2 linked regions of the Tribolium castaneum genome follow. The protein of the gene in region 2 binds, or shares a complex with, the protein of the main gene of each other region. Links are inferred from orthologs where the notes say so. Each region holds a gene or a part of one and is shown on either strand. Other genes may lie near its edges. The genes, in order: eIF3l and eIF3b.

Evidence for each region.
Region 1: eIF3b (region 2) and eIF3l share a complex: the UniProt entries of both Caenorhabditis elegans proteins name them as parts of the eukaryotic translation initiation factor 3 (eIF-3) complex. The link is inferred for Tribolium castaneum from reciprocal best matches to the Caenorhabditis elegans genes eif-3.B and eif-3.L.

What each region holds. Positions count from the first base shown.
Region 1 is NC_087394.1:32,522,449-32,534,778, forward strand, and holds eIF3l (eukaryotic translation initiation factor 3 subunit L), read right to left. Parts: upstream 6,952-12,330; 5' UTR 6,868-6,951; coding exon 6,829-6,867; intron 6,692-6,828; coding exon of another isoform or gene 6,664-6,691; exon of another isoform or gene 6,609-6,663; coding exon 6,345-6,608; intron 6,218-6,344; coding exon of another isoform or gene 6,088-6,217; exon of another isoform or gene 5,833-6,087; intron 3,854-5,832; coding exon 2,639-3,853; intron 2,592-2,638; coding exon 2,457-2,591; 3' UTR 2,405-2,456; downstream 1-2,404. Other genes in the region: pentatricopeptide repeat-containing protein 1, mitochondrial, read left to right, coding at 499-673, 749-994; iPLA2-VIA (85/88 kDa calcium-independent phospholipase A2), read left to right, coding at 6,088-6,217, 7,310-7,514, 7,561-7,651, 7,701-8,003, 10,984-12,260. UniProt on the Caenorhabditis elegans protein: Component of the eukaryotic translation initiation factor 3 (eIF-3) complex, which is involved in protein synthesis of a specialized repertoire of mRNAs and, together with other initiation factors, stimulates binding of mRNA and methionyl-tRNAi to the 40S ribosome.
Region 2 is NC_087399.1:10,625,782-10,637,327, reverse strand, and holds the end of eIF3b (eukaryotic translation initiation factor 3 subunit B), read right to left. Parts: intron 8,860-11,546; coding exon 8,024-8,859; intron 5,181-8,023; coding exon 4,878-5,180; intron 4,676-4,877; coding exon 4,581-4,675; 3' UTR 4,306-4,580; downstream 1-4,305. UniProt on the Caenorhabditis elegans protein: RNA-binding component of the eukaryotic translation initiation factor 3 (eIF-3) complex, which is involved in protein synthesis of a specialized repertoire of mRNAs and, together with other initiation factors, stimulates binding of mRNA and methionyl-tRNAi to the 40S ribosome.

The sequences.
Region 1 (12,330 bases), on a different chromosome or scaffold from region 2:
CTGTGTATTCATTAGTTTTTGAGATACAGTAAATATTTTTAGCAGATTTACTCGATTATATAAAGTGTACAGGCGGACAAAATGAAAATGACGCCTGACTAAACATTGATGAATAAAGTTAAACCGATAAGACAGAAAAAAATGATGACATGGTTGTTAAACTTTTCACTAAAAAATTTACATTTTAATTTAACTTGACGTTAATCAGTGCAAAATAAATGGCAACTTAATTGTATTTAATTTAATTCTGAATTAAATTTTAATTTCGCATTCTGTAAACTGACTCCTGAAGGATGTTACCAGCAGGAACTGGTTTATTGAGGCGTAATTTTCACTTTGTTCGACTGTAATTTTGGTTCAACTACTTTAGTGTTTGGAAGTCATATAATTTCTTATAAAAAATTGAAATTGAACATTTTGTGGACGGTTCTGGACCTAAATAATGATATTTGAGTACTTGACGATTTCATTAATTAAATAACTATTTTATAACTTTAGGCTAAATACTGAAATTTTGGGGGCGATGCTGCACCAGGCTTGCTACCACAAAAACTTCCCCTACGTACTTGAAATAATGGAAATTAGTTTGCGAGAGAACGTGAAGCCGAATAAGAAGTTTATGGAATGTTTGCACGATTTTAAAAAGAAGTGCAAAGATATCTCAAATGATAAGGTGATTATTTTTCCATTCAAGATTTTATCACTTAAGCCACTTCAGATTTACTGTCATTGCAATTTTAATTTGTAGGAAAATACATTATCGCAAAGTGGATTTTTCCAAAAGGGATTTAGAATATTCCAGATGAGGTACAAGACGTGGCTGGATGAGGTTGAAGTTGATGATAGTGAAGACGTCCATCCTTGGGCCCAGTTCAGACAGACAAGTGATACAGACAGTAGGCATTACAAGGATAAATCACAGAGGTTTAAAGCCAGACATTTGTCACGATTTAAAGTCAAAACATCAACGAAACGTAAAGGAAACGAACGTTAAATTGTACCTTGTGCTATTTCTTCAGACATGTTGAAATAAAGTCACGAAGCTGTGGTAGCACTGAGGTATGTAGTCACGTGTTAGCATATGCAGAATACATAATCAGCAGAGCGCATGAGTAATTTTGTACCGTGATTTTTATCTACTACTTATTAGATTATTAAAAAAGTTAATTAAAATTTGCAGTTACGTGTTTTGACCAATTCTAATTGCAAATGACTCATGTTTTATTTATCTCTTTGCCACTGTTTTCGAATCGAATGGAACGCACTTATTTCATAAAAAATAAAATATACTCACTTCTGAGCGCAAAAAATTTTAAAATATCTTTTATGCGCATGTGTTGATTAAGACGTGAAACTAACTTGCAATACTTGTTCATTGAGCGAATTTTACACAAATTAGAACTGTGACTACATGAGCAATGCTAAATCATTGTCAAATGCAACATTTTTACAATAAGTGATAAGAGAATTTTTACAATAAAAATTTCGCATTCAAGTATTAAGTCACAACTACGAGTGATTGCTGCTGCTGATAACAAAGCCTCGAATTTTTTCTATGTATTTTTCGGAAACAAGACGGTGTTTCTTTATACAAAAAATGTTTCTCTAAATAAAGTTTCAAAACGGAAAATTTTAAATCTAAGCAAATGAATCAAAATTGTGCGTTGCTAAGGCATTCTATTTCAACTTAATTTTTTTTTGTAATAGTTATTTATTTAATGAGTTTGAGTGTAAATCGGACGCTTTATTTCACGAGTGGATTTTTAAACCACGAGTGAAAACGAGTGGTTTATCATCCACGAGGCGAAATAAATGAACCGATTTACACAAAAACGAGTTGAATACAACATTTTATTCTTCGAAATAGACTCAGCAAGGCTTAAAATTGCTTTAAATTTGTTAAAAATAATCTGACGTTTCGTACTGAGAAATGCCAAACAGTTGTCAAAACTTCCTTACACAGGAGAAAAACCGTAAATTTTGACAGTGTCGAAGAATAAAATAAATTAATCGATTCGGTTACAAATATTTAATATAAAGTTAAACTAATCTGTGAGGGAAAAGGAAACAATTTTGTTTATTATTTTTTATAAAAGTCTAATTTTGCGTTCACGCTTTTGTTGAGAAATAATTTTCTCACTAGTGTTTCCAAAAAGTTAGAAAAATATTAAGTAATAAACTATTTATCCATTTCAGTTGCAAACGAATAATAAACTGAATATAAATGCCTAATTAAACTCAATGATACTTAAAAGATAAAAGAGGTTTAATTGATTTATCTTGCATCAATAAAAAACTTTGTTAAATGATAGTGATCAAAGATAAGGTGAAATTTTTAATACCTGTTCCAAATTTGTATAGACAAAGGTGACTGAGGTGGCTAAGGAAAAAAAGAAAAGTACAGTTATTTTAAGCAATTTTATTCGTTGAGTGCAAAAATTACACCGAATTCTACATTAGAATTTAAGATTGTGAAGCTTCCTGTTCAAATCCTCAAACTTGAGAATTTTCCTTATAAAGAAATCGCCGTATCTGTGCGCCACTTTCGTGTCGGCGATATGAATCATATCATTATCGATGTAGAAATCCAGCTGAAATATTTTTTTACGAAACAAAACCAAAAATTACAAAATGTTACCTCTGAGCCACTCTCCAGCTTCCCTTCCAGCCCCGACGAGCCCTTCGACCACACCACATTCTTCATTTTGTGCTTGAAGCACAACAAATGAATCAAAAGATTCTGCGTCTCCTTATCAACATCAAACTTCCCTTCACTGTTCTTATTCTGCGCCATGAAAGTCGCCAACTTGGCAATGGGCAAAGTGGTGTACAACTTCAAGTAACTTCTAATCGTTGGCAACATTTTTTGTTGCTGGACCTCGTCCATAAAAACTTGAGTTTGGTGGCGGATCGCCTCCTTCGAATAATCATCAGGGATGGAATCCACCGGCGGAGGACACGGCGAAAGAAACTTAGGACAAGCGAAAACGAAACAATTTTCAAACTCCTGGAGGTCCCCATACTGCATCTTGTACATTTTCTCATGGTAGCTTTTCTCTCTCAGAGTTTGCTGGATCGATTCGTCGATACACTGCGGGTGCAAAACCAAGCAAATGGCCAACAAGTGGTACATCTGATCCGTTTGCTTGTTAATCTGGTCGTGCTGATAACTTTTAGAAGCAAACAATTGCTTGGTTCTCTGAATGTACAAGAGAATGGACGAAAACGTGCGAATTGCGTCAGAATAGCGCCTCATCATCATGTACCCAAACCCCACATAGTACGACGTTGAGATCAAGCAAGCCGGGATGTGCGCATACTGCGACTTCTTATGCAGCTCAATGTTTTCCAGCACTTTGATCGACTGGTAGTAGTCCCCGAGCAGAGAGTGAAGCCTCAGAAGCCCAATCAGGGAAAAATAGCCCAACATTTTGTAGAGCGAGTGACTCCCGAACTCGCCGGCCACCGAATCGGGGTCGCCCCCACTGGCGCAAACCTCCAGTTGTTGCTTGATGTTGCTCTTGTCGACCAGAGAATGCAACACGTTCAGAACGCAAAGTACGTTCCACACTTTATTGTGCGAGTTTAGAGTCTCCAGTTCTTGGGCGGTTTTCTTCTGAAGGCGGGCCCGGTATTGGGCGAATGATTGGAATTGGTAGACGAATTCGTCGATTAATTCCCATAGCCACAAGTCGGGGAGTTCTAGAGGCACCGGTTCGTCAGCGCTTAGGATGTAGTTGAAGAGGTCGCAGTAATTGTAGAACGAATTGAAGCGCTGCTCGAGGGTTGGGCCCCCTTGAATGCGCGCGTAAATGTGGCGGAAGTAGAGCTCTTTGTACAGGATCATGAACACCTGCAAGAAGGGTTGCATAGGATATTTCCCGCAAGAAGTAAGTGAAAATAATAATTTTCACGTATTTGTAATCATTGAACCCAAAAAATTAATAATTAATAATGGTAGAGAATTCTATACGTGAACAAAATCAAGCGTTTTCAAATTGGAAGTTATGTTCCTATAAATAGTGTCAAATAACTGAAATACAATTCAAAAATTATATATAGGTTTGGGACAAAATATTAATTGTTAAACGTACGTAATTTAATTTCCCAAGAATGGTGTTCCTTTTTTTGATGACTGTTAGTTGTTTTTTTATTTTGGTTAAAGTTTTCATGTTATAATAAAATTGTTACGTAAGATAAATTTTTGTGTCCCGTCCGTAATCTCACTACTTTTTATATACAGGGTGCTCAAAAACTGGCGCACCAACTCAGTGGTACGTTATTGAGAAGCAAGTGCAGATTACGGGAAAAATGTTGAATAAATTTCTAAAGTTATATTTTAAAAAATCTGGAGCTACAAACTTATTGTGTTAACTTCTTTAGTTTTCATTATTTTTTTATATTTCTATGTTTCATACCAGGTTATCGTTCCGTAACAATACAATGAATAATTATTTTAAAATTTACTATCAGATTTTAGCAGTTTTTTTAATTAAAAAAAATTAAAACTCATCCAAAAAATCACAATGTGTAGATGTGCCAACACTGGGAATTATTTCCTAGGAAACCGTTTCAAAAATAATTTATTTTTATTGTTGCTCAAATTCTATTGCAATCATGACTGTTAGACAACGTTGCCACATATCATTTACCTAAAATTAGTTATTTATCAATAACAGTAATACAAAGATTTTTTTTACTATTTTTACCTTTATATGTAACCAGTTCTCTACCACACACCACTGAGTTGGTGCGCCAGTTTTTGAGCACGCTGTATTTGGTATACACTCCCTCAGTATTACCTGAATCCGTAAAAAAATCATTCATAATATTTCTATTATGAGTAAATATTTTTGTTCTTTCGAAAATATTCACAGATTTTTATACTTATTTTAAACTCAATTTTTATTAGGCGAATACGCGTCCAGTCGGTAATCAATTACTTATAACGATTTTCATTTCAATTAATTTCATCACTTTAAATATTACTATCTTTTTGAAAAAGATAGGCCATTTGAAAATAGAAGTTGACAGAAATATGATTAGTAGATTGTGGAGGTAGTTCCTGGTTAATTTAGTTCATTACATGTTTTTTTTTTTGTTAACTAAATGACTGATTAACGATTTTACTTATTTATGCAACAAAATTCTGTACCTAGGTTTAATTTAAACATTGTTTTTAGGAAAATGCTTGAGGTACCGTCTATTTATTACGATTTATCACTGATTTTCTTATATTTTTAAAAGCATATTTTATTTTTCAAAAGAGAGACGAACAGTTGAATAGTTTTCCCGTTGAGATCTCAATTTATTTATCTTATCATGAGTTTTTAAGGACAACAAATAATCTACTTTGAAGATTCTCACGATTTTTTTGGGCCTAATTAAGACTTTGTATTCAAATTTTCGTTGGTAAATACTCAAAGTTAATTCTTTAGTAAATTGTGAAGACAGTTCTGTTAATTCAGTTGATTATAACATAATTTTTTTTGTTTATGCAATTTACTTGGTTAAGCGTTTTACTTATTTATAGAACAAAAATTCGTTTAATAAGCAAATTTTATGATTTATTTCAAGAAGTCTCAAGCCTCGAGAAAAAATATTATTGGAAATGTATTTGTCTATTATTGACTTTGGTATACTCCTAATTCAAAAAAATGTAGGAAAAAGCTGTTTTATTTATTTTGAAATCGATTACCTTTAAATGAAATGAAATTTAGAATTTCGTCGAAACTGTATAGTATTAGAAAAGATATGACCTTGTAAGCACCTTATTCAAAGTTTATTTTTTGTCGTTAAATCTATTTTTATTTTATTTATTTATTTTTATTTATTTTAATATTATTCATCGCATTATTAAAGTCCAAAACCAAAAGTCGTATTTATTATTATTTTAAACCAATTTTTTTCGCCCATGCTGCGTAAATAAATATTTAAGCAAAAACTTTACAATCAATAGACATCAAAGAATCATAGATATTGAGCGATTTCTTTGTAATTAGGTCGCTTCTGACGTGTCCTTTTGCTAAAGACATAATAAAACCCATTTATGTTCATTTTTCCCTGCTACTGCTTCCAACAGTCGCAATGGAGCATTACAAAAGGCAACTCCTGAGCAAAAAAGAAGAGCTCAAAGAGAAAATCTCTGAAGAACTCAAAGACAAAAGTGAACACGTTAGGGAGAAAATCAAGGACGTCCAAGACATTGGCACAGAAGGTAAAATAATTGATCACGTAAAGGAAAAAATTAAGGATGTCCAGGAGAGTGAAACTGGGGGTAAAATACTAGACCAAGTGAAAGACAAAATCGAGGCGGAAGGTAAAATAGTCATGGATTTACTCACGGGATCACTGTCGACTAGCGCTGACACTTCTGACTCTTCTGGCCAGGGGCGTTTCTCGAAATAATCTTCGGTTAGTTTTGGCCACGAAGTTTCATACAAAGTTTGCAACTCAAAGATTAAACCCTCATTCACGCAATTGCGGAAATAGATTAGGAAGTTTTTGACTATTTCCGGCATCTTTAGGTGCTGTTTATTGTACTCGTTGTCCAAGTTGGGGTCTCCTGTGTGAGCCCCATACTCATCATAGCTGTTGTATTCATAACCCTGAAATAAATGAAAATCAGTGTCCAATTTATTGTCAATTTTGCTGCCACGAATTATGGGAATGGTGCATGCTAAACATGTAGGTCGGTATTATTTCCACACTTTTACAAATAGGCTTGAGACACATGGTTCAATTTGCAAAGCTTTTACTAGAGTTTTATAGAACCCAGTGTAGGTTTAAGGATAAATTGTTCAAGTTTTAGGTGTTTGAAGCACTCACTTGCTCATAATCGTCGGAAAACATTTTGAATTTACTCATTATATGCCTACGCCACTATAGCGAGCAAATGGTCTTGCACTTAACCTCGAAGCCAGTTGACGTTTGACAATTACAAATTACAGGTTTCTACTCGAGGTGGTGCAAGAAATTCCATTTTTTTCTCATTTTCAAAAGTATTTCCGCTGAGTAAGTGAGAAAAATGTTTTAAAATAAAACGATCAATAAACATGATGTTAATCTAAATGCAAATTTACTGAGCCGGTGATTTAACCTCATTCCCCAATTGCTCGTTCGAACAAACCTTGAACTATGAAATCACAAATTTCTTAAATAAAACACAATGATCGGTAGTCAATCTCAGTGAGTGATTAGTGTTCGTAACCGTATGAATAGATATTAAGTAATAAAATGTTTGCCCAAGGATTTACAAGTGGTAATCCCCTGCTTTGTGATGGTACAAATATTATTCTTCATTTTGCAGTTTTACGTAGCTTCCTCAGTTCAGAACCCGCCCCAACCAAAGTGATTGACGCCAAATCAGACGCTTTTTCCGACCGAGCGATTCACCTACGGGAAGATGGATTGGTCCTCTACCTCCCAGCTAATACAGTTGACAAGAAAAAAGGGGCCACTTACGAAATTGTGCTCCATCGCCCGTACACGGAAAGCCTACACCAAACCTACAGGTTTGTGCCCCCGAACACGTCAACTGTTAAAAAAATCAATTTTTAGTTTATACCGCTCGCCAAATCTTGACGAAGCTGAAGTGAAATTTTGTGTCTTGAAGGATAAGTTACCCACGTTTGTTGAGATTTCGAAAGAAGTAATTTGCTGTAGTTGTTAAAAGACGATTATTTGGAATTTTATTTCAGATGTATAATGTGCAAGGTTTGCAAAAGATTTGTGACGTTCTTGCGGAACACCCCTCTTGGAACTTGGCCCATTTGGCGGCGTATTTTAGTCTCTATGATTCTTTTAAAGACTCTAAGATTAACAATTATTTGAATAGTACTGATGATGAAACTGGGATCTCGCCACTACAAGTTGCTATTACCACGAAGAATTTGAAGACGGTGCAAGTTTTGGTTGCTGCGAATGCGTCTTTGGAACATCTCGATTACAACTCTGATTCGGTGTTCCATTACGCCGCTAGCACCACCAAAGATATCATTGCCGTAAGTATTGAATTGTGCAAAATTAGATACGGAAAAGTTGTACATAAGGAATTCTAAAGATTTTTTTCTGACGATTTTAAATACCTTTTTTTAGTTTAACATTTGTAAAGGCCTTGGTCATTTCCATTGAGCATTGTTTCGTTTGTGTTATGTGGAAAATATCAAATATTACACTAGAGTATAGAAAAATTCCATTGAACTAGTAAATAATAAAAAACGAGAACACATTTATAAAGTTCATAGGTCAAACGTTGACATTTTATTTACGAGATGTTTATTTCTATTAAAACCTACTAGAGACAAACAAAGTTATCAGTTTACCTAATAAGTAATCACTAGTTTTAGGGAACCTAATTTTATCAATGAATGGATTGTACTCGTATTACAAATAAGGACATTATTGGAAAAACAATTAATAGGCATTGCTTTAACGTTTCCAACGAGTGTTTCAGGTTACTCGTAAAATGTGACAATATGGGTTGGTTTAAGAACATTTTAATTAATTTTAAAGTACAACATTAATAAAAAATAAATGAACAAATAAATAAATAGCGAAATGAACATTTATTCAAGAATTTTTTATTGTTTAAAATTTTATTTAAAAAATCCTAATATCATCCGTTACTTTTCTATCAAACTTCCGATTTAGAAGGCCTTTGAACAAATTCGGTTTTTTAATTTTTAGACAACACTGCTTTAATTAGCTATATTGTAGGAATATGTTTTTGTAAAATGCTAAAACAAGTTTGCATTTTTTATAAGAATGGTGCACGGACAATTTTTTGAGTAATACTTTTCTCATGAGTAACAGTAAAGAAAATTACTGAAAATTTTTTTGTTAAAGACGTTTTTCTCTTATTTCAATTTGTTTTTGTAAACTTTTCAGACGATTTTGAAGCAAATTTTTACTTTCTTGAAGCTAGCTAATTTTGAAAGTGGAACTTAGTCTTTTAACGATGTGAGTGAATCAAGTAGTTGAAAAGGCTACTAAAAACTATTTATACTAGAGAGTAATTCAAGTCTTGTTTACCAAATTTATAGAATCAATTGAGAAAATCAAGATATTAATATTTTTAGACATTGAGATAATTGAATTGCTTTCGATGTAAGCACATTTTTTTATAATTTGAAAGTGCAAACTACGATTAGAGATAAATAAGTTTTTCTATAGAAGTGGTTTTGACGTTGAAAACGAATAGAATTCACGTAGAAGTAGAACGATTTTTCATTTTCTCTGTTGATTCTAAAAATTTGGCAACAACTTGAATCCGTCTGTATTTACAGAGTGAAACAAAGCTTTGGAACAAAGCGTTTCTTGCTTAAACTCCGTAGACTGAAGAATACAAATAAATGTAAAATCTGTTTAAAAAAATAATTTTGTAATAAAGTAAATAAATAAATAATAGTTTTCATACACAGTACTATAAAATTAAATAAATCAATATAACAAAACCAATCTGAAAAATTATAAATATCTTTGGTGAAAAAATCATTTTCCACTCTCCGAATATTTCATGAAAGTACGTCATTTCCCACCTACGACCCTCATTTTCCTCTCTCGGGAGGAAATAACGTTCTATCATAGAATATTTGGAAGGTGAAAAAAATAATTTTTGATGAAGACGCCAAAAAAAACATATATAGCACTGGAGAAAGCGCCTTTTTTCTCCCTTTAAATATTAATTCATCTTCGGGGAAGAATCGATGTTTTTCCTGTCTTGGTATATAAATAGTTATTTCATTGGATTTGATTCTCATGAAAAATCAAGCGTAACTCCAACAATAATTTGTATAAAAATTATTTGATTATTTAAAAATCAAATGAAAACTTCTTCTTTAGCCTTTTCTTTTCTTTTTTATTAAAGAATACAATTTTTTGAGATTTTTGAGAGATTGTTTATGACTTACTGTCATTTTTATAATACTGTACTTATTATTCGTTCACGATTGTTTTAAATTCTCAGCAGGCCTAGATATATTTTTCTTAGGTTGGCCTCAGGTCCTGTCAGGTACTGTCTTTATGACGTTGTCTTGTCAAAAATTCGCTGTGTTGTCAGTTCTACTGCTTATTAATTTAAAATGTCGAAAATAATTTTTGTTGATAAGAAAGTTTGTATCAAAAGATGCTTTGAAGGATGCAAGAAAGACAGACCCGACTTTTTTAACTAATGATACTGAGTAGAATTACAATAAAAACGTGTTCAATTATTTATTTAAAAAACGAAGCAAACTGACAACAGTCCTTGGTTGTCATCAATTATAACCCAAAATAAATTTCTTATGACAACTCACAGTACTGCCAAATAAAATGTCAGATTTTCATAGATAGTCCGAATTTAAAACAATCGTGAACGGTGTATATTTTTTCATCATTTAAACGTTAGCTTTTTTCGTCCAGACTTATTATGTAGTTTAATCTAGGACAACAAATATTCAAAGTATTTATCAATTTTTAATACAGACCCGTAGTTATATTCCTTCATTTTTCAAGTTCTTTCCAAGAATTTTTGTTAAGAAAATAGTTCAGAATAGTAAATCTAGTTCCACATCAATTTAGAGACACAATTAATTGATCTATCGTAAAATTTACAATGTTCCTCGCTGTAATTTTAGGGCCTTTCTTTGGTTCGATGAAATGTTACACAAACTTAAAAAAAATTAATTGAATTTTAACGTATTATAAAAATAAAATATATAAATGCAAAAATGTTCCATAAATAAACTTTGTGGATTTTTATTTCTGTAGTTATTTAATCACAAGTGATTATCTAGCACAAATAATTAATTCATAAAAAAACAAAATAGGTAACGCAAAAAACACTAAACTTTACTAACACTTTACGTTGTAAATATCAGATTCTAGTTTTAAATAACACAATTAAATTTTTTTAATTATTACTTAATGTTTTATTATCACTGTTTCGTTACAAAAGTTGAATAAAGAATTGAAACGAAATACTACAGGGTGTAACATTTTCAGGCGTTGACGCAAGGCAGCCCCCCAAACTGCTTAAACGCCCGCAACAAAAACGGCTACACACCACTGCACCTTGCCTGCCAAGCGGACAAACCCGACTGCGTCCGAGCCCTCCTTCTGGCCGGAGCCGACGTAAACAAAACCTCAGGTCTAATAGACGACAACGTCCTACCCGGCTACGTTGGCGACTACCTCCAAAGCCACCCCAACAGCCTCCACAAGGAGGACATGAAAATGGGGGGCACCCCTTTACACTGGGCCTGTTCCCGCGAAGTAATCGAAGCTCTAGTCGACATGAACTGCCACATAGACTCTCTAAACTTCGACAAAAAAACCGCTTTGCACATCATGGTCATGAGAAATCGCCTCGAATGCGTTGTAGCTTTACTGAGTCGGCAAGCAGACGCAAATATCGGCGATGCCGAAGGCAACCGACCGATTCATTTAGCTGTGAAACAAGGCAACATATCGATAATCCAGTGCTTGATTATTTTCGGCGTCGATTTGAATATTTTGAACAATGCCGGGCATTCGCCCAGACATGTTATAACAAAGGAGCAAGAGCCGAAAATCTTGTATTACTTGCACGCCGTGGGGGCGCAGCGGTGCCCCCCTGGCACGCCCTACTGCACCGACGGGTGCGTGCATGGGGGCACCTTCGACGGGGTTCCACCGCCCCCGGTGATCGGCCCCACTAACCGTGACGTTCTGAACCAAATGCTCGATGTAGCAGCGATGGAAATCGCCTCAAAAAAACACAAAGATGGGAAAATGCCCAAAAATGGGCGGCTCCTGTGCATGGACGGGGGCGGAATTCGGGGCCTAGTTCTGGTGGAAATGCTGCTAGAAATTGAAAATGTTTTACAGAAACCTGTAAGTCATTGTTTCGATTGGATTGCGGGAACTAGCACTGGGGGGATTCTGGCACTGGGGATTGCGAGTGGTAAAACCATGAAGGAGTGTCTGTGTTTGTATTTTCGGATTAAGGAGCTGACGTTTGTGGGGATCAGGCCGTATGCTAGTGAGCCGCTGGAGAATGTTTTGAAGGAAACGTTCGGGGCCGAGACTGTGATGGCGGATATTACGCATCCGAAGGTGATGGTTACGGGGGTGCTGGCTGATAGAAAACCGGTGGAGTTGCACTTGTTTAGGAATTATCAAAGTCCGAGCGATATTTTGCAAGTGGAGCATAATTCGCCGTATGAGTTGCCGCCACCGCCCGAAGAACAGTATGTGTGGCAGGTTGGGAGGGCCACAGGGGCTGCTCCCACTTATTTCAGGTCAGTGTTTTTACAAACTTTAATTCTCAATTTTTTACGTGCTAAAATAATACGAAAAGCGATTTTTTGG
Region 2 (11,546 bases):
TCCTGGAATAAAATCCCCCACAGCCCCATATTCCATCCTGCTGGCTTTCCGTTGTAAAATCCGTCCTGCATAAACACACAATATGATGGTGGACGAGTAAATCCTGCGAGGTCATACTGCGGATATCCACGCCGGTCCTTGCAATGTTGTATATAAGCAGAAGAAGGCAATTTCCCGACTACCCATTGCAGTACAGAGGCCTACTTAGGGCCCGCTCATAAAAACAACCATAAACCGCGACGAGGAGGTCCCATAAATGCGAAATCTTAAGATAAGCGAGCCGCTTTTTACCGGTGAGTCGCATAAACAAAGCCCTTCAACGACAATTTTGTTCCGGATATATCACTCCGTTTTCTGCATTTTCCCCGGACAAGGATAATGGCCGGGAGCTAAACGGCAAAAGCAACTCTGTTTATTATTTTATTCGAGGCAAGTCGAGGTAGCTTGAAATTGAAAACAATAACGATAAAAACATTTTAAAGTTGATGACGAAATCACCAATGGTCTGAGTGAAACAAAACCAGTGGAGAAACTAAAAGTTTTGACAAGATAACAATCATTCGGATTATGGTTCGAATCAACGGGGTCGTAATCAGATTTTGCGGTTAACAAAGAGAAAAACAATTACTGAAAAAATATTTTGGAACAAAGTCAAACTCAAATTTTTAAGTTTATGAGCCGTTAACTAATTTTTTTTAAATTTGACAAAGAAAATTTTATTTAAAAATGTAGATACATTTTTAAAGGATTTTCAGGTTTACAGGTCAAATCCTTCGGGCTTTCAGTTTATTTGTGTTTGAATGTTTTAATTATTTTGTTTCAAGTTTCTTTAATTTTTTAGTAGGGATTTGGATTAGCTAGTTCGAGATTATTTGCGCATTAATTAACTGAACTGCGAATGGAGTAATTTAATTAATTCATATAAAAATCACCGAATATTAAAAATTGCTGCAATTTACCTGGAAAAACTAAAACTAAAAAAATAAACTTTGGTCATAAATCGGAAAATACGAGTTGGTATATCAATCTAATAAAGGGTGTTTCACATAACTTTACGAGGCCTGCGCCCAATGTACGAACCCAAATATACAAAAGTCACAAAACATTGTATACAAAAAATTCGCATTTAATTATTTAATTTTTGGAAACCCATAACAGTAGTTGTCAAACTAATAAGTAATGACTGGTTTATTAATAGTCATAAAATGCTATTTTCCTGAAACAGTTATCATGTGATCTTTCAAGAGACGGAATGAATATGATTCTAATCTATCTATCAACAAACTATAAACAAACTAAAGAAGACTATCCAATTTTTTTTAAGTTGTAGTCCAGTTCGTATCGGAATATGTACATAGGCTTGGCCTCGTAAAATTATGTGAAACACCCTGTATTTCTGAGTTCTGGTTCTTCAAAATCTTGAAAATTTTAATTTTTTTAGATTACGATTTTCTAGTTTTTTTTACATATTTTTAAGTTGCTCGGTTAAGGTTTTTTAAAATTTCGAATACAGTACTACTAGGCTTTTCAGTTTAATTTCGGGTGCAACTAAAATAGTTTAAGTTCTAAATCCGAATGCAACGGGTACTCATTTCAACGGATACTCAATTCTGAAAATTCACTAAGTTCTGATTGTGATTGATTTTATTAAATTTAGATTTTTAAGTTTTTTCAAGTTTATGAATGAATGCTCGACCTAAATTTTAGATTATCTACAAAATCCAGGTTGCTTAAACTACAACAATGTTTTATGTTTATTAAAATTGTTTTAAAAAAGAAAGTTTCAGTTGCAATAAACTCCTATAAAGAAGTAGTCTGAAATTGAAAAACCTAAAAAACTCACAAACGATAAACAATTAATACAAATAAACAAATCTTTGTTAAAAGTACACAAACGTCTCGAAATATGAAAAACCTATTCCTTGAGTGACAATCTTTTTAATTTAAAATGTTACATTCACCACAAATTGCAAATCTAAAAATTTCCACTGATGTGGAAATGATGAGGTAAAAAATCTCACAGATAAAAGTTTTACTTTTGCGCCTAAGCATTTTTACTTTTACGAATCTACGTAATTTGTACTTCCTCACACTAAAACGAATAAAAAACGATCTTTTACAAGGTACTGTATGAGAATACAAAGAATGTTTAACAAAGTGTAGACAGTATGTGACAGTATGTGTGGGAATATACATATACTCCCGAGAATCCACATTATGCGACACAAACAACAGCAAGGTATTAAAAAAAACTCTCTCGATCTTTATCAATTTATCTAAATACGTATGCGTCGTCGGAATACAGGTGAATTTATGTGGCTCAGCAAAATAAACGTTAAGGTTCCTCACATAAAGTATAACTTTTACTACGGCTGGATAAAATTTTGCATAAAGTATCGATACTTTAGCAGATATCAAAATACATACTTTTAATTTCCGATACTTCAATACTTGCAATACTTCGATACCTTCGATACTTGATACTTTCGAACTGTATTCGTTTATTGTTTTTTGATGGTGAATTTGTAATATAGAATCGATTTTAAACTACAAACAAACATCGTTTGAAAATATTATGTGTCATTATCACCAGGTGGAATTCTTTCTGTGCTGTTTGTTCATAAGAAAAGTCGGTATGAAAAATAGCAAGGAATAAAATACCAAAATACCAAATAGCTCCCTTACGAAATATTTTTCGATACATGCTTATAGGAAACTTCTGTCTTAAAATTGAATGTTCTATCTTCTGTTTAAATTTGTAACAATAAAAACGGAACACCCCGTATAGAAAAGTTGTTGTATGTGGTAAAATTAACACACGTATTTCTGATACACCTTGTATATACCTAAATAGAGGTATCGACCAGCCATAACATTTACTAATAATAACATAATCTACTATTTATTAATTCTCGGCCGAGTTCTCAACTATGCAATGAATGTTTTTTAGTCTAAACCTATTTAGTTTTTTCAGACTTTCTTTTAGCTTTACAGACTTATAAATTTACTTTTAGAATAATTAACTATAAGTTTATTACTACTAAAATTAGGACGTCAAGTTTTTAAATATTGATTATAAAATATAATTTTTGCTAAATCACAAATGTCACAGACTGCCTCGAATTAATACTATCAGCGTTTGTTGTAATGTAGACCACCAAAAATCGGCTAACATAAATATTTAGTATCATAAAAATGTTGATATATACCTACCTCTTTTCATAAGATCTTTAAATCTTCACCATCTTCATCGCTTTAGTTTACTATGATAATGTTATCACAAACATAGGAAAAGTTATTTGGGCTTAAAATACATTCATTTGTTGGCATTTTAAAGCAAATAAAATGTTTAACAGTTAATTTATTACAGAAATAGCGAGTGCCAAATTAGACAGCAAGAATAAATTAATTTCAAAATGTTGTAGAGTATATTAAAAAAAAACTTTACAAGTGACAAAATTTGTCACAAAGTTGTTGGTGATAAGTCTGATAAATAACTTTGTAACGTCGTATATTGTGTAATTATAATAACGTAAGTATTAGATTCAGCATCGTTGAAATATTTGATAATAAAAATTTAATTTAATAATAAAAACAGGCTGTATAAATAGTTAGATAAGTATAAATAAGTTACGGGCAAAAATAAACATCTTGCTCCAAAAATATCAAAAAAGGCAGTTCATATAGCAATTATGGAGGAAGCAACCATACATTTCGAAGATTGGCATTAATTTGTTTAAATTGAGCGCTAAGTTGCCAATTTTTTAAAATTCTCTCATTTTCGACTCTTTATTTTATTATTATACATCCAATTCACAAAAGCGCATAAAAAACGTGCTGCTTATACTGTCATGCCTCCATCCCCATGTATCACAATTTCAGCCAAAATTCAATTTTACAACAAATCGCATCGATTTTCCACCACTCAAACTCGCACCACAAACACATTTTTCCGAAATCGTGCAACACAAGGATATCGTGTATCCAAAAGTATCTTTTACGCGCAATAAAACCGATCAACCTTTTATGTATTTTGTTTTATTATTTTCTTTAGCAGCACGTGTCCCGGATCACACCGACAACTTGATACAGCATTTTTATATTGGCAGCAATGCACCACTGCTTAGTAAATCATAGTGACCCTACTTCTGCTGACATTTTTATAGACTTGTATATGAGAAAATTGATGACAACACTGCTGGAACGAACCTAGAATTTTATATAGTCCTTAGACAACAAATCATAAAGTTACGAAAAGGCTAGATGTCGCCACTTGTGGTGAGTTTAGGAAGAGAAAAAAAAACATTTGTCATATGAAAATTTATTTTCCAAATAACCAACAGACAGTTGAGATTAGTATCGTACATGGTTAAAATTGACCCACCTAAATAGAATAAAAAATTAAAATATAATGGCAGCTGACAACAGAAAAAGATTGAACGAGAACCTACTAAATAAGATAAAACACAACAAATTGGTGTAAATTTTCTTATTTAAGGCTGTTTATGAATTCACAGTCACTATAAATCCCGTGCACACGTTGAATGCACACAGGAACCAACACTTCAACCTCAATTGTCTTAGTCCAAAATGGTTGTTTCCTCTTTAATAAAGAATTCTACAATTTCTTCTTCTACGTTTTGTGGGTCGGCATCTAATTCATCGGTATCAATATCTGGAAAAAATCAAGCGTTAAAAAAACTGCAAAACAATTAGAATTAAACATTGTCACATGTTTTTGCAGTTAAATAAACTGTAACTGAACGCAAAAACATGTTTTAATTTCCCCTGAGCGTATAACTAACCACACTACAAATCAGCGTGTCAGCAAAAAATCAGGGTAACTAACAACTACAAAATCAAATTAAAACACTCACTATTTCTAAGTTGAAGTCGTCTTTGCTTATTCTCGTTATATTCCTTAATCCTTTTACTTCTGTATTCGTTAAACTCCTTCATTAAAGCGGCACGTTTTTCGATAAGTTCCTTTGAAGCTTTCGATTGTCTCATTCTGTCTTTGCTCTCAAACTGTGGATAATACTTTTTGAGGTTCTTTTTGATTTCTTTCTGCTTTTCTTCAGACAATAAAGTTGCAGGTCGTGGACGCCACAACAACTGGGCGAATTTTTCCAAATTAACACGTTTCAGGATTTTTCCTTGGAACGACCAAATCCAATAACCTGAAAAGAAAAATTCTCCGATAATGATTTTGAAATGAAAATATTTAATTCTCAAAATCGTTCACGAAGTAGACCAATTTTCAATATAAACGAAAAAGGTCCTTGTAAGTAAATTAAGTTAGATTAACTTTAAGAGGATTTAGATGAATTAAAATTTGTATGTTTTTGTGTCGGAATCTATAAAAAAAAAACATAATAACATCAACCTGAGTTATTATTTTTTTAACATTTTTTAAAATTTATACTTGTATTGTAAAATAAAGTTTTTTGCTAAATTTCAACAAAAAAGGACGAAAAATTAGTTATTCAGTGCATTTTTTAGTCTGGAACGTTTTTGTTTCACAAGGCGTTGTTTAAGATCATTCAAAAAATCGCCAAAGTGTTATTTTTGCTTTTTGATCCATAGTTTTCCTGTAATATTTTGATAAACATATCCAAAAAAAAATCCTAAATTAGATAAAAACGTCATTTTCGTGTGTTCAAAGAAATTTAGAACCATTTTCAGCAAAAACCGGAATTATTAGTTCGATAAAAAACCCAAAAAATCACCAAGTTATGTCTAAAGGAGTGTTATCTTTTTGTTTTTTAAGCATGTAAGTATATTAACCGGGCCGAAATAAGATCAAAAATGAGATTATTTTTCTGATTTCAAGTGTCAGTCAGAAACGTGATTATTTTGGGTCAAAAATTATTCGAAAAAATTGCTGAATTTCCCCTTTTTTAAGTCAATTTTTAGTTAAAATTACATTAAAGTGGCGTTAATTTTATCCTTTTTAGAAAAGAAACCACCATTTTATGTCAAAAAATGCATTACTTCTGTTTCTTAATGTTTCAGCCCATTTTAGAAAAACCCCAATTTTTTCGAAAATTTAGACATGTTTTTCAGCAATAAATGCAACAATTTCTCGAAATTGCGCCAAAAACAATTAACTTTTTTAAGGAAAAGGCTTGTGAAATTTCAACACCGCACAGTGCGGTGCCTCTTGAACAAATAAAATGTTTAACGGTAAAACAAAATTAACTTTGATTTGGCGTATTCCAGTGCTTAATTACAATTTAACAGCTCCTAAAACAAACTTGACCGATGAAATGTGTCGAGTTACCAACTTTTTTCAGGGTAACTCAGGCGCTGTTAAATGTGTCTTCGTCAAACCATGCAATGTTGTTATTTTCTGTGATCCTCTTTTGTCTGTTTTAATGAATTTGTAATTATTTTATACGAAACATAAGTGCTGTACATGTCTATTTTATCTGTAAGAACAATAAAAAATATGAAAAAACAAAAAAATCACCTACTTTTCAGATAATAATTAATAATCATACGCGCAGTTAAATAAAATCTTAGCAATGGGTGTAGCTAGAAAAGCTGAAAATATAACCCATTTTCTATAAAACACTAAAATGTGCAAGCCTTGAATTCTTTGATGAAGGATTGCATCCAGAAACACGAAAACGCGAGCACAATAGAAAATACAAAAATACAGATATACACAACACTCCATCCGATTTTACCTTTATTTCGGTCATTCCTTTTTTCTACAATGTCAGAAACTTTCATATTTGCAATAAAGGCCATTTTTTAATCAACAAGTTCTAAATGATCAAATTTTATTTAAATCTTCGATCATATCTTCACTTTTTTTTACGTAATATGAATGTTTGGCTTGTGTCTCGACTTCTTTCTCTCGTTTTTTCAGTCGTTTAAATTTTAAATCTGTTTAATTTTTTACCTCTATTATTTTATAATCTTCGATAGAAGACGCGGTTTTACTTTATTAATTGCTTAATCAATTTTCCTTAAGACATAAATATCATGATTAGGATCTTTCAAACTAATCTTTAGTTTATATGATTTTATTATTTTTTATTTTGTTTTCCGTAACCTTTAGTTATCCAATAGATGTCATGTATCCATGTTCAAGTAGAATAGTATTTGTTATGAATTTTATAATTATTAGCCTCCACTTTGTCTTGTTTCCTTTAATATAAAGGTCGTTTTATTTTAAAATTATGATTTATACTATTTTAATATAAACATTTTTGTTAAATGTTTTGAATTTTAAACATGTGACTAATTCACCTAATGATACTTTACGTAACTTGACAAAAAATTTGTCAAGTTTGTTTATTCATTATAACTTTCAGAGTACATGTAAAATAAAAAAAATTGAAAGTCAAAAACAAGACAGCAAATTTTCTAGTAAACATACCCTTCATTTGAGGAATCACAATTGAGATCATGCTTTTCAATCTTTTTAGGGTGTTCGTATTTGAAAGTGCTTTAAAAGTGCACCAAAAAGTCTCCCCTTGTTAATAAAAATTGACCTATTCAGTAATTTTCAAAATTTTCTTTTATTTTCTGAGAGCTCGTTTAGAAAAGCACCTCGAAAATAACGGATTTTGTTAATTGACCCAAAAGCTGAAAACCAAATTTGGTTAAAAATGTTATTAGTTTTTTTGATTCACGGTTCATCGTCTGTTGTGAGTTTAATTTGAGTAAGATTTAATTATTTATTAGGATAACAGACACAGTGCAATTTATTTTGGTTTATTTATTTATTGTTAAACAAAATAGTTCCCCTCCTCGTTGTTTCTGCACGAATGGTTTGCTAATTATTTATTGCCCTAAAGAAGCCCCCCTCATAAAAACTGGCAAAACGTTGGTAGTAATAAACAAAAAAACAAACAAAATATACTGCCCCTCTCTACTATGCCCCCCCCCAAAAAAAAAAACGATAATCTGGGAAAACCCCCGCAAGAATAATTCATTCAATTCAACAATACTTCAAATTACAGAGGTTCGGTATCAATTTCTAAATCAAGCTTAAAAGCCAAAAACCCACCTGTATCAACTTTGGTTTTCCAGTACGAAACGGACGTCGTGACGTATCTTCCCGTCGGATCCCACTCGACATCCGACATTTGGAAATGATCCGTCGTATTCATAACCAAAAACTCGTGCGTATCAACAAACTCCAATGATCCACCACCATTCGATCCCAACCCCGCCAAAACAATAAACTGGCCTCCGGGCGACCAAAACAGGTGATTACACGCCCTTTTCTCGAACTTTTTAAGCAGAATTGGGGCTTGTCCCACTCTCACTTCGTAAAAACTGACATTAATATTCGGCGATTCTCCATGTATGACCGCAAACTTCGATCCGACCGGTTCCCAAGCGAACGCCTGGATGGGTTCCTTACTCTCGACGCTATCCACCGGGATCTGTTTTTCCCTCATGTGGAAGATCTCGAAGTTGCAGTACATTCCGCTGTACTTCGTCTCATTTTTCTCTTTGCGAACTTTCGAGTAACGGTCGACTTTGACGCATAGATAATCGCCAGATTTTTGCCAGTGGATTTTGCAATCGGCGACGTTGAAGAGGTTCTTCTTGCGGATTTCGTTGCGGTTGGGGATTTCAAGGAGGGTTACGCTGGCTGGAACGTCTTTGTCTTCTGCCACCCAATAGGCGACGATGTTGTCGGTGGGCGACCAGCTGAAGTCGCGGATGCCGCTGATTTTGATTGATTTTTTCTCAAGGAGACCGAACGAGGGGGTTTCGTAGATGGAGAGGACGTCGTTGCCCACGCGTCCGAAGTATTTGTCGTCGTGAGACCAGCGGAAAATCGGCCATGAGGAGGGGCCTTCAGGGTTGAAAGAACGCTTTTCTTGGCCAGTTCTGCAACAATTAGTTAAGAAGTGTTTTCAAAAAATTATATAAACTCATGAGTTTAGACATTTAATTTTTTTTACTAAAAAGTCAGGTTTTAAAGTGTACACGGTTCACATTTGTAAAAAATAAGCTTAAAAATATCTGTGTGGAAATAGTATATTAGAAAACAAGTTTCATAAAACCAGTCTTGAAGCACGAATTCAGTTTTAAAGAATAAGTACTTCAAGGTTTTATGAAACGAGTTTTTTTATACTGTTTTGTGTAATTTGTCCCCATTTTGCACTTTTTGTTATTTTAATCGATTTAGGGATTTTTAAGCCAACTGGTAATGTCTCAATTTTGAAAGTGAAAAATTGACATACTTTTTTTTGTTTTATCCAAAGCTTTAACGTAATACCACATTTAACTTCAGTGCAGTTCTGCCAACCTTCGAACATAATACAAATAATATGTGCAGTGGCGGACGCGAAATTTTGGACGCCTATGACATTTCGTTGACTTAAACGTATGGAATACTCCATACCTTTCGACTACGAAGTGACAGAAGTGCTCAAAATTCCGTATCTGCTACTGTACCATTAAGTATTTAGTAAATAAAATTTGTAACTTTTTGTTTGAAAAAATTGAAAGAAACGGTAAATTTAATCAAAGATCAGGTTAGTTATGCCAATGATTTATTATTATTTAAATACAGAGTGTTAGGTAATGGCTTAGCAAAAATTTAAAGATTTATGTAAATTTATGTAAATCAAAAATGCATGGTTTTTCAAAGAATTTGTTCTGAACTTTTGTTCTCAAAATTTGAGAACCGCTGAACTAGAATTATAAAATTTAGCGTAAATTCTAATAATATTGGCAAAACAGCTGAGCTAAAATAACTTGTTGGTTCACTACGTTATTCTTCTATTTCAATTTGTGTTTTGTTACTAAAGTTTACGAAAAAATATTTTTTTTGCCAAGACCGGGATTCGAACCTTCCGCACAAATGAAAATGTTGCCTTATTTAATGAAAAAAAAAAATATAATAATAACCGCTAATAAACTACCATAAGCCCAGTGGCTCTCAACAGGTGGGTTAATATTTTTTTTTTAAAGAAAGTACGCACCTTTTGGAAAAATTATATAAGGGTTTTTAACTCGTCTGATCATGACAAATTCACTTACACAATATTGCTAAGCCATTCCCTAACACCCTCTACATAGAGGGTCTAAAGTACAGCATTTCCGTCAAATATAACAGACGTAACCAGGGTATACATAAGTGTTAAATTAAAATCAGATTAAAAAAAATTAATAAATATCCATTTCCAATATTTGGATTCCCATTTGAAGACTGTTAAAAAATTCAACAGTTCTATTTTTACCGGAAAACAACCCTAAATTTCGTAAAAAACATTGTGACTTGATGAAAACCTTAGCAAAAAAGTTTGTTTCGTTTAAAACTACACAGAAAAAACCTCTAGTTTTGACCAATTTATTTTTTTGTTAAAAAACAGTGAACAAAATTTTCATGAGGAATTTTGAGCATATTGTATATGAATTGCCTATGTAATAGTACATTTTTATAGAACTTTGTTTATTTTTTTTCCAACCCTTAAACCAAGGTTACAAACAATGTTTAAAATAAAATAATAACTAATTTCTGAGGAGGAGGATCTAATTGAGGGATCTAGTTTCAAAGTGTACATCCTGCTGGTTTATTTTAGAATACGAGAAAAACTCGTCACATTGAAAAAATGTTTAAAAAATAAATAAATAATACCGACAATTGTGTGAGTTCATATTATCATCTAGAGAAACAAATAAATTCAAAGTTAAAAATAGGTTTTATGCAAAAAAAAAAACTAAACTGACAATTCATTAACACTTTTCCTCTACAGGTGTCTCAAAATTGGCGAATTCTCAGTTCAAAGCATTGTAGAAATCATTTCAGTAATCCAAATATATAAAAAAAAATTAAGATTGGGGGCATCCCCACAAAGATACACTGGTTTGGAAAATCACTCTTAGAATTGCGTTTCGTTCAATTGCATGCTAAAAGTTTCAGTATTTATTGGAAAAAAAAAACCCTGAAGGTATCAATACTAACCTAAGTATCGTTGGTATTGAGGTACCGGAAGAATCGAGGTATTGAAAATATCGTAGTATCAAGGTATTGACAGTTTTATGGTATCAGCTCTGGTATCAGTGAATCTAATTTTTTTACTGAATTATTGAAGTGTTGGCTTTTTTCTAATATATGCCATAGAAATGGATACATTTTATTCTGCGATTCTTTACAACACATAGACAGTCGGAAATTATGATACAGAATGTGTCTAATCATTTTTAAAATGCTTTCCCGAATTTTTTTCGTTTTATATTTTTATACAATCGCACAGTATTTTATGGTAGCATTTTAACAACTTTTGAAGGCATTTATTTATTATTTAATATTTACACTGATCTTTACATATGGTAACAATCTGAACTAAAATTAATTCACTCCTACTTTCTCTTCCAAACTAGTTTTGTAAATTTAATTAATTTCAGAGGACAAATTATAATTTTTTTCCTTTTTCTAAAATGCATTATTAAAAATTTAGTTCATTTAATATAAGTTTTTATAGAGTCAAAGTATCAACCATAATTAAATTATTTCCAATTTGCATGATTTTCTGACGTTTCAATTATAAAGAATACACTAAAAAACA